Linked DNA regions of Arabidopsis thaliana. The protein of the gene in region 1 purifies or fractionates together with the protein of each later gene. This does not show direct contact. Each region holds a gene or a part of one and is shown on either strand. Other genes may lie near its edges.

The links. The genes of interacting proteins can lie anywhere in the genome.
Region 2: the proteins of AT1G07070 (region 1) and AT2G43460 fractionate together in Arabidopsis thaliana (co-fractionation; one large-scale study listed by BioGRID). This does not show direct contact.

What each region holds. Positions count from the first base shown.
Region 1 is NC_003070.9:2,166,745-2,170,504, reverse strand, and holds AT1G07070 (Ribosomal protein L35Ae family protein), read right to left. Parts: upstream 1,945-3,760; 5' UTR 1,854-1,944; coding exon 1,822-1,853; intron 1,597-1,821; coding exon 1,561-1,596; intron 1,165-1,560; coding exon 936-1,164; intron 844-935; coding exon 802-843; 3' UTR 548-801; downstream 1-547. Other genes in the region: AT1G07080 (Thioredoxin superfamily protein), read right to left, coding at 155-436; DFO (uncharacterized protein), read left to right, coding at 2,108-2,247, 2,333-2,540, 2,691-2,834, 3,158-3,299, 3,651-3,760.
Region 2 is NC_003071.7:18,045,408-18,049,121, forward strand, and holds AT2G43460 (Ribosomal L38e protein family), read right to left. Parts: upstream 1,995-3,714; 5' UTR 1,886-1,994; coding exon 1,883-1,885; intron 1,519-1,882; coding exon 1,335-1,518; intron 901-1,334; coding exon 878-900; 3' UTR 558-877; downstream 1-557. Other genes in the region: AT2G43465 (RNA-binding ASCH domain protein), read right to left, coding at 2,325-2,384, 2,471-2,625, 2,694-2,787, 2,903-3,028, 3,117-3,235, 3,303-3,390, 3,474-3,531, 3,609-3,657.

The sequences.
Region 1 (3,760 bases):
AGATTTATGCAAATGAGAGAAGACCAATTTGTCAATCTCAGATGCAAACAACATCAAATTTCAGTTAAGGAAAGGGTGATTTTCTCAAAATTGAAGCTTAATTCAATCGAATCGGAAACATCGAATTCGTAAATTGAAGAAAACGAAGGAGTACCTGGCAAACGGCAGTGACGTTATCGGAACGGAGCTTGGTATTGCCCCACGGAGAGAGATGGAGATCGACGATTGATATGAGATCGTCTTCGAAGAGCTTCGCGAGGTGGTTAACAATGAAGGAAGAGCAGTAGGGACAGAGAGACTCGTAGTACAGGCCCACCGAGACTTTAGGCGACGAAGATGGAAGAGATACCCCAGAATAATCAGATGATGATGCAAAGGGGAAAAGAAAAACGTAGCAGACTAGGACTGGAAGAAGTTTGCTCGGCATCGACGCCATGGATGCAAATGCAAGGTTTTTGTGTCGTCGCCTTCTTCTTCTTCAAAGAACATTCAATAAATATGAAAGAGCCGAGAGAAATTAGATAATTGCTATTCCCAATGGTACCAATTTATTACAGACACGTGTAGCTTCGAAAGCCACGTGTCTCACTTTCATTCTGTAACCGTCAATAGTTCAACACAAAGTAAGCTCAGGCTTTGCAAAATTTGGGTAAACTTGTGAACTCGACTTATCAAAAAGGCTCATTTTAACCAAAATTGTTAACTCCAAAAAAGGTTCAGGATAAAGAGTCAAATAATAAACAAGGTCCATAAACAAAGGCTTGCAGATAATAAACCACTTGATGACGAGTACACACTGCTTTAAATGTTACTCGGATACATAAACACTCGAACTCGAGATCCCTGCAAAAAAACAATCAACCAACTGTATTAGAAGAGCTAGGAAAGAGATAACAACAATTTCAAACATATATAACTGAAATGATTTGGATTACCATTGATTTAGGAGGCAAGTTTGATGTGAATTTGGCTCGAACAACGCCACTGTTACCGTGAGGCCTTGTGACTTTGCCCCAAATGCATCGGTAGTGACTACCGTTCTTCTTGGTCTTGGCTTTGTAGATGTAAGCCATCCTTTTACCTTTGTACCATGACACTTCCTCAGTGGTGTTAACTCCCTCGACTTGGACTAGTGACGTGTTGGGATACTGGTTTGACTTCGACCTGTACATATTTACACACAAAACGTGTTTAAGGACACCATTCTGACAAGATCCAAAACAGAAACAACACTAAATGGTAGATTGTTTTGCTTAAGTGTATACGCTAAAACTTTATTGCCAATTGGTAAACGTAGAGCTCGTGACTATAACAAGCAAAATCAAGATAGTCTCCTTATTTTGTATACCCTATTCCCAAATTCAACAATCTAAGATCGGACGAAGACAAGTGAGTCTACTTTCTCAGGAACTAACTTTTGAATCCTATAAGCAACTAAACTGAGGTCATAAAAAAAGTGTATTAACCAGTATTATCAGCCAAGATTCACTGTTTATGGGAGCTAGAACAAAAACGACTAAAGTGGAAAACAACAACAACAAATCATGTATCAATGCGCACCTTTTGTAGCCAAGTATGGTTCCCCTGACATAGAGTCTGCATCACATAAAAACAAAATTGAGTGAGACAAAAGCTTAATTAAGACTAAAGTTGAGATAATTTGGTACACAGAGATTGAAACACATCCAAAATCCAGCTGAGAAAAGCTAAAAGCGAGATCCATAGAAAGTGTAAAAACGCCAATGATGCCAGCTAATTTCAGGAGCAATGTGAAGCTTTAGCAGATACAGAATTAGAGAACATAGAAGATGAATAACCAACCTGACACGTTCTCCTTGGCGTCCTTTCACCATTTTTGTCGAATCGTCCGGTGGAAGAAATTAGCAGTTGCCTTCAGAAAACGGAGACGAAAACTCAAAAAAACCTAATAAGCGAATCCTTATCAGTCGCGGAGGTAATTAGATGGCAAGTAAACGTCATCGATTTGATATTAATGGGCCTATAAATCTACATATGGGCCGAATGTCAACTCGTCAGGCTATCGGCCCCTTGCTTATGTTGTCCTTAAATGAGTTCTTATAATGCGCCGTCAAAATTAACAATTAAGATGCGCCATAACATAAAATTCAAATCAAAGGGCACATTGAAAATTCGAAACACCGCTCAAATTTCTCTCTGGAAAAAATGTTCAGATTCGATGATCGCTGATCAGACTTATCTCTTTATCAATCGGGTCCAAGACAGAAGGTTCTTCAATCCATCCGAAGCATCTGATTCTCAATTTCTCTTGTGTGTGTGGCTAGAACAGGGTTTCTTCTCACTGATTGTGCAGGTTCGATGAAGAATCTCTTCGGATTCTCGAGTTGTCTCTGGTTGCAATGAATGTGAAATCGTTTTTGGAAGTTAGATCTCGATTGAGAGATTTCATGAGATCTGAATCGGTTGTTATATTCGGTGAGCTCACCGGAGAATCCATGGTCGCAAAACTCTCCGTACTTGAATTCTTCGCTCGTGCTTTTGCTCTTCTCGGTGATATGGAGGTTCGTATACTGTCCTTGTCGATTTTGAATAAATTCGAAATTATCTTTCAGCTTCTTGTTCGATTATGAGTGAAGATTTGCAGATGGATTTGTGCACTTTACTCAACTTTTCTGTAATGTATGTATATATGGTTGTTATATGTTGAGTAGAGTTGTTTGGCTATGAGGTATGAGGCATTGAATTTGCGGCAGCTCAAGTCTCCTAGCTGTTTGTGGTTAGGGGTTTCACATTCAGAATGGACCAAATTTGCAGTCCAATCTATGGAAAATGGATTCCCTTCCATTGCAGGAAAGGTAAATTACTCTTCCTTCTGTAGTATATGATCTCGTTGCTTTTGGGAATGGTTGGAGAAATTCACATAAGAGGAATGGTTAGAGATTCTGTACATGTTTCTTGGAAAGTGAGTTTACTTTGTAATTGTGTTAACAAGTTCATGCTTGTATGATCGGAATTGTTGCTTTACCAATTTATTCAATTTTTTGGATACATAGCAATTTGTTATTTGTTACATTTTTCTGTTCCCACATGGAAGTACAGATCAGATAGGTTCTTTGCTTCTTTTGATTTTGACTTGTTCTTACTATGAGGTATGACATTTTGATGAGTTTTTACGTAGGCGTCTGAAAATGCCCTGTTGAGCCTTAAGAAGGATAGTCTTATTGAACCAAAATCAGAAGATAATTCTGACATTTTGGATGCTGCTGAGAAAGTAAGGAGACTAAGGGATTCAGCTGCCTCGTTAACATCTTCACATTCAGGTATTTTCATTTATATCGTGTCTTCTTTAAAGTTTGCTGTTTGTAACAGACTTCTGACTACATTTTGATTGCTTTCTTCGTCTCTATCTAAAGTATTGGTCTTAAATTACTCGTTTTATTCCCACCGTTCAATGCCTTCAATGTAGTGTGACTGTTATGTATGGGAGAATCCATTGAGTTTGATAGAATCTTGGAAATCTACTGGTTGGAAAGATTGATGATTTATAAACTGACTCTACCAACTATTGTTTGGATCCATCATAAAGGATATAAAACTGACTCGACCAATTTTAACAGAGTGTCTGTTAGAATGTATCTGATTGGTCTGAGTAATTTTCGAATCACAAACAGTTCAGGCACAAGGTGCAGGGTACTTGAGAAGCAAGGAACACAGAATACAATCCAGACAGACTCTACCCACTAAAAATCCAGACTGCACAGGTAGCAATCTGTTCAGAGAA
Region 2 (3,714 bases), on another chromosome or scaffold:
ATCAAAAAACGAACAATCAAGCGATAATGAGGAAAAAGAATCAAGAGTATTTTACACTGAAACTCTATAACTAAGTAACCGAAGATCATAGAAGAATAAGTTTCCAAATTGAGAGCAAATTCAAAGAAAACAAAAGTTTCTCGCGTTTTCCCGGAAAATGGAGATTTAGAATTGCGACTCCATAACTAAGACTCATAACTAACCTCTGCTTCTCGGCGCGATGATTTGTGTGCAAACTAATCTGATTTTTGAATTTTTTCAACTCTGAAGCAATAAATTTGACTTTTAAAGGCGTTTGGGCCCATTACGGAAACAACAAGTAATTAACAAGAGAACAGAGAACCGCATAGAGAGAAAATGTTAAGATCAAGGAAGATTCACCAAAGGCCAACAAATATATATACCAAAAAGCCCAAGCTCCAATTGGGCCTGGTCCCCATGGATTTGATTGTTTCGAATAACAACAACACCTCAAGCATGATACTGCAAATTTGGTGCTATCATGAGGTTTTTACATGTTTTGAGACTATTATGCTATAATTCAAATGATATGTCGAAAAGTATATAACCTAAAATCGTAGTTAGTGCTAAGATCAAGGAGTAATTTGGTTATGATTCATTTAATGAATGTGATTGTTATTATAAATGATGGAGAAGGTACCAACTCTCAAGTCTGAAAATAAAAATCCAAATTGAATCCAGAGTTGAGAACGTATTTGGTTTTTCAAACTGAATTAAATCCAAAACACACTCAAACTCGAAAAGTCTCAACATAAATTTAACGACACAAAATAAACTCTCCTAAGGAAATTATAAAATGATGCAAAGGATTCGTCACCAAAGGAACTCCAATCTGCAGAAGAACTTTGCTTCATCTTCAAAGGTCTTGTACACTCAAACCTGAAAAAGTGCAACATAGTCCACACCTCAGAACACGCGTACAACAGATATGAGAATGAAGATACTTTTCAAAAACATAGTAACATACTAAAGCCAAAGCAAAGCTGGGTTTAGCAATCAAATGCCAAACTCAGAAAAATTTACAACGGAAATTGTGTGATGAAGAAGCTTACTTTAACGTACATAAATACTTAGCAAAATTCAAACAATGAAACTCAAGGCACAGCTATATTTAAAGTCCATATAACATAATGAATCCAATAATGTTGAATGTTGCAATACACACGCAATGTAATTAAGCAAAGACAGGTTGTTTCGAACCCATATGCCAAACTCAAATTTCATCAAGGTTTTAAAATGATCTAAAGTGTGAGAATTTATGCAGTGTAGTAGAGAACAATGTAAATTGAGCAGAGTTAAGAAGAATAAAAAACCTGGAGGAAGAGACTGCTTAAGCTTGTCGGCTTTCTCTTGGTCAAAGACGCAGAGCGTGTAGAGGTACCTCGAGCATCTGACCTTAAACTTGACAATATCCTTGCTTCTCTTGATCTTCACAGATCGTGCATCTTTCCTTCTAGCTGTCAGAAGGAAGTCCTTGATCTCGTGGATTTGCTTAGGCTGCAAACATTAATCAAATTAATCAATCAAAATTCAATACAAGATTCAATAATCCCAACCAATCAAAAGTTAATCACATGATAAGCAGACACGAGCTCAGCACATCAAACACATTAAGCAAACTCTGACCTAGGTTTTTGGTTAATTCACTAAAACCTACACGTTTCACTATATCCTAAACAAAGTAAGAAGCAATAATCAAAGCTGAAAATGATACAAAAATCTACATTTTTTGAGAAAACTCTTAAGATACAGGAACAGCTCTACTACACTATGAATGATTGCAAACGAGCTATGAAAACCAAATCATAAGCATCCATGACGGCGATATGAAACGAAATCGAAAGACCGAGAAATATTGTACCATTCTCGAATCTGTTGGTTGAAACTAGCCGCCGTCCACAGAGAGAGTCGAGCGAATTCGCCGTCGCGAGGATATAAAGAGATCTCTTAAAAACTTTGTATCAAGAAGCCCTAATTCGTAAACCTGAAATTCCATATTTACCCTCTGGACGATTTATCAAACAATGGGCTTTAAGGCCCAATCATATATCGCTTTAATGTCCCTTCACAGTTTTGCCCAATTTACAGTTTGTCTTAACACTTTGGTCCTCATATTTTCTTTTCATACCCTAATCATAACAAGATCAACCACAAAATCCTTCTTAGAAAAAAAAAAAATTTGATTTTTTTTGTCACAAGAAAAGAAGCGTTACAAATTTACACTTGTTGAAAGAAAAAACGATTCAACTACAAGAGAAAGTTCACAAAGTCCTAAAGACACAGAGATGTTTACAGGTGCGGTCTTAATGCTTCCAGGCCATGGAGTGACCATCCTCCATGTAAGGCTCAAGAAATCCAATGAACTGCCAATAAAAATAAACAGCAACAAAACAATTGATGATCAGACACGTCTGAAAGATACATACTTCAAGTCTCAAAATATACATACTTTGGTTCCATCTCGAGACCAACGTGCTCCATAGCCTTGAGCTACTCTTATCTCGAACACTTCACCATGTGGTGGAACGATATGTATGTTCATCCAACAACAATTGCCAATGAACCGATTGATTATGTCCATTGCACGCTCATTTTTATCTGAATCTGAGAAAAGGAAGAGGAAGACTCAATTATGGAAATGCATCAGTGTCCTGCAAAAATTTGTTACTTACCAGTTCCCTGAAGAACACCCCAAAATCCATCGCTACTTCGATCAACATGCTTGGCTAATGCTCTAGCTCCATGGCTCAATCTACAACCTTTTATCTCAACAATAGGAAAAAAGAAAGATTCTAAATTTGATCTCACACAACACAGCTTAACCATTCCCCAAAAGATTCACTACGATGTCTCTCGAACTATATCTTAGTTTTTGTGGTACCTTTGGCTTATATGGAAGCATGAATGAAGAGAGTAGCATCGATCTAGGAGGAGGCAGAGCATGAAAAATGGATCCAGTTGTGTGAGATAGACCGAGAAGGTTTTGCACGCCAGTGTAACTCAAGCCCTGCCATTTAAATGATGTTTTTGTAAGAAACATTGAATAATAAGAATCATAAATCACAAGGAGAAGGCTGAGAAAAACTTGAACTCACAGACAGTATGTGAGCCAAAGCAACACAAGGCTGAGCAACTGATTTACTAAGATGGATTGCCACAACACCATTGAAATTCTCTTGATCCGTATCATATAACTTCCTAAACATTTGCATACCTAAAAAAATTTGAAATCTTTGAAACAGAAGTTAATGGCTAAGGATCAGACAAAGAAAAAAGCTTACCTTCTTCCACTGTTTTAGTGCCAGGAAACACTTTCTCTGAACTCTCGGCTTTCAACAGCTCGTAAAAGGATGCATATTGGTGAAGTTCCTATATATCAACATTTAAGAGAATCAATCACAAGAAATCGTTTGCAGGAACACAAAAGCATGATGTCGGCAAATATATCTCACCAGAACTTCAAACATTAGACATTTATTTATCATAACCATTGAACCTCCTCTCCGAATTCTGAGGAAACCAAACAACATTTGTGAACACAAGAGACACAGAAGTAATCCAGCTCAATAACTTTTCACTTCTCCTACCTATCATACTCTTCTTCAAAACACCTTGCTTCAACTGTTTTGATGCCATCTAATATATCCATTTAAATTAAGCAACCCAAAAATCTGATCAAGAACTCTTACCACT